Linked DNA regions of Drosophila melanogaster. The protein of the gene in region 2 interacts with the protein of the main gene of each other region in a pairwise test. Each region holds a gene or a part of one and is shown on either strand. Other genes may lie near its edges.

Evidence for each region.
Region 1: the proteins of Ets65A (region 2) and CG1603 interact in a two-hybrid assay, tested with the Drosophila melanogaster proteins (one large-scale study listed by BioGRID).

The regions. Positions count from the first base shown.
Region 1 is NT_033778.4:7,513,339-7,518,383, forward strand, and holds CG1603 (uncharacterized protein), read right to left. Parts: upstream 3,053-5,045; 5' UTR 2,927-3,052; coding exon 2,630-2,926; intron 2,569-2,629; coding exon 2,305-2,568; intron 2,245-2,304; coding exon 1,882-2,244; intron 1,826-1,881; coding exon 989-1,825; 3' UTR 508-988; downstream 1-507. Other genes in the region: CG1602 (uncharacterized protein), read right to left, coding at 3,676-4,629, 4,687-5,040. UniProt on the Drosophila melanogaster protein: Chromatin-binding protein involved in the organization of active promoters and insulators. Essential for the activity of heterochromatin promoters; primarily binds to specific motifs within promoters of housekeeping genes.
Region 2 is NT_037436.4:6,095,630-6,100,665, reverse strand, and holds the start of Ets65A (Ets at 65A), read right to left. Parts: upstream 3,050-5,036; 5' UTR 2,195-3,049; intron 198-2,194; 5' UTR 137-197; coding exon 1-136. Other genes in the region: loj (logjam), read right to left, coding at 4,404-4,460, 4,515-4,682, 4,754-5,017.

The DNA.
Region 1 (5,045 bases), on a different chromosome or scaffold from region 2:
CGTAAAATGGAGAGCGTAAATTTCTTAAAATAGAATGTACTTCCTTGTGTGTGTTAAAACAACAAACGAGAAAGTGTATATGAGCATACTTGTGCTAGAAAACTTTCGTCTCGAAATCAATTTTGATCTCAGAAACGAAGGTACATACATACATATTTAAAGTTTTGGTCAAAGCTTGTTGCAATACGATCTACTACAGAGTTATTTAAAATTTAATGCCTTGACTATTCTTTTAAGAAGAGTTGTTATTAATTAAATACCGCTTATTTATTTTTGCTTATAATTAAAAATATTTAAAATTGCACTGACGACATACTTCAACAAGGGTCTATGAGCAGTATCTTGTACCGTATAAAAATTATTTTCATCATTATTTAAGCTAATAAACTAAATAAAGTCTTAAATCGTTATTATAACTATTGTAATTAAAAATATAAATTTGGCAAAAAGGAAAATACATTTAAAAAAATATATTTCATAAAAGAAATATAAATACATTGTTAAAAATGAATATATATAAAATTTTGTACACGTCATTTGATCAAAAATAATAATAATAGAGCTGCTAGCTCTAGAGCTCTCCGCTCTCTGACTTTTGAACAAAAACTCGGGAGAGCCTCAAGCCAGCTCTAGATCTAGAGCCAGAACCAAAAAATCATATGTTATTCTAATATCTCCTCTACAAGTAACGGTTATACAAATTTATCTTAAAACGAACTTATTTTTCCGGCTTCTTCTTTTTTTTATGAATAATACATTCCTTAAACCAAATTTTGAAAAGGAAAGTATGAAAAAGGAAAAGCTTGTGCATATGATTATCATACACATGTTCTTATCAAATACACAAAAGCCGTAAGTGCTTAACAACACGCTTGTTATTATCACTACTCTAACGTAAGTTTATTCTTGATTTACATCAAATGAAGCTTACTGATTCTCGTTATCAAAAAATAAAGCAGTTTCTAAAAATGTCCCTCAAGGCGAGAGTTCATTCCGATCTGTGGCTGCGGCGATGTCTGGAAAGCGAAGAATGGTCATAGAACGTAGCATCACAGTACTCGCACTTCTTATCACGGATATTCAGATGTCCTTTGATATGGTTGGCCAGCTCGAACTTCTTGCGGAAGGTTTTGGTGCACATATTGCAGCTGTAGGGTCTAATGTTCAGGTGAACTCCGTTGACGTGGTGGTCCAGGAGTAGCTTGAGCCGGAATGTCTTGCCGCAGATGTCACAGACGTGAGGCCGCTCGCCCGTGTGGATTAGTGTGTGCACCTTTAGGTCGGTATCCACGGCGAACGATTTTTCGCAGTACTGGCACTTCAACTTGCGTTCGAAGTGGGAACGCAGCTTGTGACGGTCCATGTCTACGTGGCGGTCGAAGCGCCTCGGGCAGAACGAGCAGAGGTACGGTAGGTCGCCCACCTCGTGCGCCTTGACGATGTGCACCCGTAGGTTGTAGTCGCCGTGGAAACGTTTATCGCAGTAGTCACAGTACAGCACCTGACTTTCGGAACCCTTGGCGGGCAAGAAGCTGCACATTTGCAGATACTGAACCTCTTGCTTGCTGCACTTCTGAATTAGTTCCTTGGATTTGAGGCGACGAATGGCATCGTAAAGCCAACGGCGCAGCTTGTTGACCGCAATGTAAACGTCCGTTTCGTTGGCCTTCACCACTGGCTGGAATTCCTTTGCCATTCTTTTGAAGGCATCTGCACGTATCTCTATTGAGCCAAAGTCTGGCAACGCTTGATTATACAGCACGGGATAGTTGGCATAGGTCTCTATGAATGAGGTGGTTATCAGGTTTTCCTCCTTAAAATTAAGCTGAAAAAAGGATTTTTGGTCAGAAAAGAGCTACATTATAGTGGGCTAGTTATTACCTTAATTGCAGTCAAGTCGTTGTCCTCCTCGTTCTCCCTTGGCGTTACAACAGGCGCCACACTGAGGAACTCGCACTTGGCAAAGTAACGCGCTGCAAGTCCAACAAGCTTTCCCCTTTGTTTTGTCTCCAAAGCCAGCGTGTACTGCACGTGCAGTTGCTCGAGCGTTTTCTTCAGTTCTTCCACGGTGAAGAGAACATTGGCCTTGCGGTCCATGCGTTCCATTATCGCCTCGTAGGCCATGCTTCGTGCAGGCTCGTCCTGGTAGTGTTCATCGGAAGGGTTCCACAGGCAGGGATGCTCTTTGTACGCTTGGATCAAATGCAGCACACGGGGATTGCTCCGAATAAACGAAACTTTGAACTGAATGACGCCGTTAAGTGGAATGAATTTCAGCTTAAGTGAAATATACTACGTACTAACCTTGAAAACCTGTCCTGGTCTTGTTCGCCTGGGCGGACGTCCAGGTTTTCTAGGAGGTGCCAAGTCATCCTCAGACATAAAGAAGTCACTACAATCAACATCATCATCGTCTGTGTTTAGGGGTATGTGATTTTGGGAAGACTCGTCCATTTGTGTGACTTCCTTTCCGGCTGGAAGTTCCAAAGAGCTGCCGCCTGGACCGAACTCCCAGGAATTGTTTGTAGCTGCAGACCAAGCGGTGGCGTCTTCCTCGTACTGGATATCCTGCGGTCAACGAGAGCTCACTTATTTGACCACCCTTGGTAAGCGAGTGAAAGAGTCTTACCTTGCTATCAGCTTCCATCCATTGATCGACCCCATTGCTGTTTTCGATCACCTCGAAGAACTCATCCGGCCCATAGGCGATGGCTGGGTCCGCCGCGTCAACGACGCTGTATAGCTCCTCGGTATCCTCTTTGATTTCATTAATCCTAACGTCCTCGTCTTCGCAGTAGTGCGCCGATTTCACATGGACGATGAACAGCTCCCAATCCTTCAGCTCGCTCTCTATGCTGCAGTAGAGGCATTTCAGCCGGAACATCTCGTACTTGGAGTTGGTCATCACATTGCCGCACAGCTCCATGCTTACGTTGTGCGCTCTGATCTGACTTCAGCTTGAAAAATGTTCCTTTTCTGAAAATATATTCGTTTATTTAAGGTAACAATTTTTTTATGCGTTTGGGACTGTGTTGGACAACGACTGAAATAATTATGTATCGATAGACTATTCGATAAAAATCTATTTTTAAAATAATATTTAAACACAATTTTATGAAGGCTTAAAAGAAAACGTTTTAACAACTGTTGGTGGTGCTTAAAAATGATTAAAAATCTGCATTTCATGAATGAATCTTTAAAGTAACTAGTACATTTCAATTTTCGAAAAAAAATGTTATAAAATTCTAGTACTAACCATTTGGAAAAATCAAAATCAATCAAGCTTATTTGTTGAGAAATTATATTTTTTTTGTCATATCGATAGAAAATAGCGAGACAAATATGAACAGGAAAACACCAAAACGTTTTTCAAATGTATGGGCGTTACAGTTGTCGGCGCCTTGTGGGCGTGCCAACATTTTGGAAAAAATAGCGCAGCGTAGGCAGGGGAATGTGTTTAGGCTTTTAGATGTACATCCCCAGATTTCGACAGATGGACATGGCCAGATAATGTAGAATTTATATTCTTAATTATTAATATACATTCTTAAACCGTTATATAAATAAATTTGTTTAAACATATTGTTTCACTCTCATTTGTGTATTTTTATTTCCCCCCATTTGCAAAAGATTGCCTATTTATAAACTGTCATTTTATTGCAAATTTAATCAAATTCAGTTCTCTGCATCCACAGCATCTTTACCCTTTTGTGAATTATTACGAAGAATGTTGTGGGTGCGCTTCATGTGCGTATTAAGACCCACAAACTGGGAGAACCTGGAGTCGCAGAGTTTGCACACAAACTTCTTCACCTCGGAGTGAATCTGCCGGTGTCGGATGAGTGCATGGCAGCTGGTGAATCCCTTACCGCACACACTGCAGATTTTGTCGCGGATGTTTAAATGGCCCTTGATGTGATCCGATAAGTCGACCTTTTTCACAAAGTCTTTGGGACACATGGTGCACTTGAAGGCTCTGATCTTCGTGTGAATAGCCGTGACGTGGAGCGTCATTTGGGACCGCAGTCGGAAGGCCTTGCCGCAATGCTCGCAGACGTAAGGCTTGTGGCCAGTGTGCGTACGGATGTGCAGCTGCAGGTCCGACATCACAGCGAATGAACGCTCACAATGGGTGCACTTGTGGGTCTTGCCGATATGGACCCGCTGTATGTGATTAGCCAGCTCGCAACGTCCCACAAAACTTCGGTCGCACAAGGTGCATTTGAAGGGCAGCTCGCCGATGTTGTGCGCCTTGAAGATGTGCGACTGCAGGACATGATCCGAGGACGTAATCTGGTGGCAAAATTCGCAGACCAGCCGCTGCTTGTACATCTTTGCAGGCATGAACCGACACACCTCTAGGTAGAACTTCTCGGCTGTACTTCCGGCATAAATGGCATGCTTAGTGTTCTTGTAGTACCATTGGCGGAGATTCTGGATGGCGCGGAATATGTCATCGCTGTTGATGTCCACATTGGGCACTGAGATTTCCGCAGCCATGCTCTCGTATGCCTGTTTTCGAGAGCTCATATTGGAGAACTCCTTGTGGTTGGAGTCGTATAGCTGCGGAAAGTTTGCGTACATCTCTATCAGGTCGGTAGTCAGCTTGTTTTTCTTGGAGAAATCAAGCTGCGGGCAAAGTATGCTTGTTAACAATTTCAATTTGAATTAATTCAAATATCTTGCCTTAATTTTTTCGTTATTCGTAGCCCCTTCTTCATCGTTGCTAGCGTTCAAGAAGCAACACAATTTGTATATACTGAAAGCCAGCGATTGAGGTTTCTGTTTTCCAGACACCACCCGCTTGTGCACGGTGTTGAACTGCATGTGGACTTTCTTGATGGCCAGCTTTAAGGCCATCTCGTTCAGGAATACGGATACAGTTGCCTCCAAGTCAATGGCCATACGCTTCAGGGCTTCTTTGCATTTCTTGGGTTCCTTGTAGTCGCTGTGAGCGGGATTCCAAAGGCACGGGTGTTCCTTGTAGATCTCTATGAACTTTATGGTTCGGTGATCTCGGCGAAAGAAGGATGGATGAAACTGAA
Region 2 (5,036 bases):
GGAAGCGGTACGAGGTCCATTCTGGCGAGCACTGTCCGAGTGCAAGGCACTCCTCCGTTTTCACCTGGGCGAGAGTCGGTGGCGATACCCTCTTCAGGTCCAGCGCCGTCTGATACGAACAGGAGTTCTCGTACATGGCGCACGCCTGGGGAGCCTCGATGGGTGGCTGTTGGCTAAACAAGGGATTCCACTTGACTCTGCCGGAGAAAGTAATAGATAGAACAAATTGGTTTTATAGTACTTATAAAACTGCGAAAATTACAAACGAAAATGAATATAAATGAATACTTAGTACTTATAAGTTACTAAAACTTAAGATATTTATTCATACACTCTTGTACTCTATTGGTAGTCAAACCAGAAGATTTAATTGCTTTAAAGTCCAAGTAAACTCCATCACTCACCTCATGGCAAATTGCAGAGCGAGATATTAATAAATCATAGCGCGTGGTCCACAATTAAATACTGCAATTTTAGAATGCCTCTCGGGCCAAACAATCGCTCTAATTGCCATGGCCCCAACACGTTAAGCTAGCTACCCGAAAACCCCCCCGATGTTCTGGCATAATTAATAGTGGCTACTTTGGAGCTGTGGAGCTAGTGTTCCCTTAGATATAAGCACGACGTGCATAATTATCTGGCTCGTTATTTATTGTGTGTACAGTCCCGCTTTTTGCACTGGGCCAACGTTGCGTATGAGCGTTGAACTGTGCGTGGGTGGCGGCCATTTGAGCGTGGCTCTCTAATGTCCAGCTGGTCGAAGCTGGGGAAGGCGAACCATTGTTTACTGGCCCTTTTCGGCCAGTCTGCAGTTAGCACACACAGGGGGCATGCAAATTTTTGCACTCTGCCCTCGTCGGAAGTTGCTGAATTTTGATTTATGCCAACGAAATTTATGCCATACAAAGTGCGACTTGTCCTGTCTCTGGCTTAAAGTACACCAAACATACCCGAAATGAAAACTGTAACTGAAACCCCAGCAGCTTTAAGTTTGCCGGGAGGAGTAAATAGATTTCGTTATCGAAACGGTCGCATCTACAGAACATCATCAACTTTGCGCCTTGTCAGACATTATAAACGGCCTGCACACGCCTCATTTATTATTTATTATTTGTACTCAGGCCGAGTGGCTGCGTTTGCATGTAGGCAAATTTCACCAGCGAACATTAGCAGGCAGACATTTTATTTTTTTTGTATTCTGGTATCCTTGTATTCCCCAAGTTATCACAATCGCTGAGCGAACGCGCGCACACCGGAAATACGAGCGGGATGCCAGGATGTCGGTCTGCAGATGGGCTGAATGCTCGTCCCGTTCTGCAGCGCGTGCTGAGTCCTTTGAATACCACTTGGTATCGCTGTGATTGCCGAGTTTATGCTCTTCGACAGCTGTTAATGGTGTAATCCCCTTGTTGGACGAGAGATCCTTTAATTAAGAGGCCACACGTTTGGCTGCTCTTTAATGGTTTGTAAGATTTTTATGCGATTTTAGGAAATTAGGATTTTTGAATGTTTGCACAGCCGACTGGTTGATGAAACTGTGCTGCTGTTTAATTGTCAAGCTTTTACCCAATGATGCTGCTGATGTGCTTTTTTTCTGGTTTATGAATACTTCCGTTTTAAGTCTACTAATTCGATTAGCAGAAACATATGCTTCACAATTATCTGATGATGGTGGGGTGAGCTTTTTAGGGGTTGGATAACTGTCGTTAGTTAGAAATTAAAAGCAACCATCTAAGTTCACAGGTGCTGTATCTAAGCGCTCAAAATTCTATGTAAGTGGATTTAATTTATCAGATCAGAATGTTTGAATAGAAAGTATCATAGTTTACAAATATCTTAGAAATTCGAAATAAATTCTATCAAAATATTAAAGTTTATTATTGTAATTATTCTTTACTGACATTGGTTATAAATTTTTAGATTTAAAATAGACTTCAACATGTCTGGTATTCTGAATTCGTACATTTCAAATATTTTTATGCATTTAATATTTTCCCCATTTTATGCTGGAGATTTTCCCCATTTAAGCCTAGGAGTATGTTTTCAATTTTTGAATAAAATTCTACCGTTACGATATTATCTTTAATTTACTTCAACTTTGGTTCAACAAAGCACTTAAAAATACATTAGTTATTTAGGACCCCGTCGGAGTTCTGAATCATGTTGATCATTCTATAATTCGAACATAACTCACCTCAGGATTGTGCCTGTATGTGCAATAAAGTTTATCCAAAAATAAGTCTCCTCTTTGACTGTCTCTTAAACTTCCGTCGGGACAACTTAAGTTACAACTTAGTAATCTTAAACACTTCACAATCGTTGGGAATCGGTGCAGTTAATCACTCACTCAAGTGCGTACAAATTGCCAACCGGAAATGAAATTATTGTCAAAATGGCGACGGATATGCGACAAGTGAACGCGACAGCGACGCGCCACGCAAATGACGGTTTTGTTTGCAGCCAAAGTTTCGTAGTCCTGGAGCGGATATGCAAGGAAATTTGTCACTGCAAGGACGATGACGGCGACGACCACCAAGCCAACTGGACACCGACGGCAGCGGGCTCCTTGGGCATTTCTCGATGTCTTTTCGCACAGGTGCAGGTGCACAAAAGGTGGGTGGTGGTGGGTGGCGAGGGGTGAGAGGTTCGCAACGAAAGCGGAACGAAAATGAAATCAAAAAGCGAAATTTCTATAATTTCCGCACAAAAATTTCCGCGACACACTGGCAGGACACATGTGTGTGTCCTTGTCTGTTTCTTTTTCGTGCGCTGCCACGCCCACAGCCAGCAACAAGCTGGGCGTATGTGTCCAAGTTTTCCGCACTGCTTGCCGTGTGTAAGTGTACAAGTGTGTGCCGTGTGTGTGCTTTGTGTTTTTTGTGGTTTTTGTGCCTTCGTTTGCCGCTTGTGCTGACCAAGAAAGGTTCGCTAGTTTGGTCCTTGTCCCGGGAATATTGACGACGTGTGACCGACGAATCTAAACCGCAAAGTACCGCTATTATGTCGTCCGCGACGTGTTGCACTTGGTAGCGCGCACTCCAAGTTAATGTGGCGGCCAGATCATCCCGTCCAGTCACCAGTCCACGCTCAAAGATGGCGACACACTCCTCCCACAAGCGGTGGCTCTGTGTGGCAGGGGAACTGGGCGCTATCACCGAGGATGTGTCACCCCATCGTCCTGCGTTTCTGCGGCGGCTAATGCGCAGGCGCGCTCTCCGCACCACAACCCCATCCACCGCCCACTTTGCCGCTGCTCTGTTATCTGCCGCTGTCATCGGCTGCTGGTGGGCGGAGCCAACTCTGTGCCATCGGGGATGTGGATGTGGATGTGGCTATGGCTGTGGATGCTCCTGCCTTTCGCCGGGTCCTTTGCTCCGCGTTCTTGGGGCATCATTAGTGCTGCCGAAGAGAGAAGACCCCATTTTGGGCGGAAGTGCGTATGAGCAATATTTTAACAATGGCGTTTAAAACAGTTAAAGAGCGTGTGCTGGTGTGCGAGGCCATTAGGACCTTAGTTTTGCGGTGGCTTTAAGGCCCGCAGATAAGCCTCGCATAATAACATTTTAATTTCGAGCAGCAGTGGCCACAAAAGACCCGCCAAGATACCCAGATGCTCCTGCTGCCTGCCAAAAAGGATATAATTAACATGCCAGCTGCTGCAGAGCACACACACATGTGCTAAATGACGTCTAGATAAGCGGTGAGCCTGGTGACATGATTTAAGGTCCTGCGATGGATGGGGCAGGATAATTTGCGATAAGCGGCATTCGGGGTGATTAATTTGCCAGCCCAAGTTGTGGAATGTCTTCGAAATGTCTTCAGCTCTCAATTTAAACTAATGAGCTCATGTACAGCATGTATTTAATATTTAAGATTGGTTTTAGGCAACGAGAAGATGTCTTTGCAACAATGTCGTAATTTGAAAATAACTTACTCCCATATAAAAAGAAAAACAGGTTTCTTAAAACAACAACCTGAATTATATATTTTTAAGTTTAAAATCCTTTCCAGGATAATGAAATTTAACGGTTAAGTGAGCTTACCAAAGCAGCTTAACTTTAAAGCTTGTAGAGCTTTTAGTAAATTAACAAACCCAAATGGCTTCGAATAAATCCTTAAGGTTCTTTCCCAAATAAAACAAAGCAAATACAAAAATCTTCAATCTTTTAATTAAACAAAACACACAAATGTACACTTATCACAATAAGTTTTGCTGTCTATAACTCGTATGACATAAGTAGTCCCAATTATAAAAAAGTCTGCTCAGTTGCGCTTGATCAATTAGCCAGTGATAAAATAAGTTACAAAAACTCATTCAGCAGGTAGAATAGAATGAATGTCTTGGAAATGCGGATGGAATTTTAGAAACATGTTGCGAAGTCTTTGAAAAGTATCTTTGCGCCTTAGATGCGACTTTTGGAGCTCGATTTTACTTCAAATAGTTTGCGCACAAAGAATACCTGCAAATATTAGGTTATTAATTTAGGAAAAGCAAAAAACATGTCTATACTCGCCTGTACAGAGCACGTGATCAATATGACCACAATTTGGCTAATCGAGAAGGTTTGAATATAGGCATTGTTGTCCAGGAGCAACGCATAATCACGCGATTCGCGATGACGACTGTGGGCTTGATAGCCCATCATATCGTTGATGTTGCGCTCCACAGTGCCAACGGTGGCCTAAAGAAATAGATCAATGTGAATATTTGTAAATGGATGTTTGGGTGTGTCTGAAAACCAGTTTGGCTTACAGTGAAGTTTTGCATGTTCAGCTGCAGCTGCTCGATCTCCTTGGCGTACTTGTCCCATGCATCGTACTTCACCACCGTGATATAGATGTTGACCAGCTTGCCAGCGAATCGGGAGAACTGGTTGTCAATGCAGACGGAGTAGTAGCCACCGGGCGATACCTGATCCGTGTAGTCCGCAGTAGCCTGCCACTGGTAGGGCTTCACCACTTCACCAGCAGGATTGCGGACGGCGAAACCAGCCATTCCATCGCCTCCGCGCACCACCTAAAAAAAATTTATATGA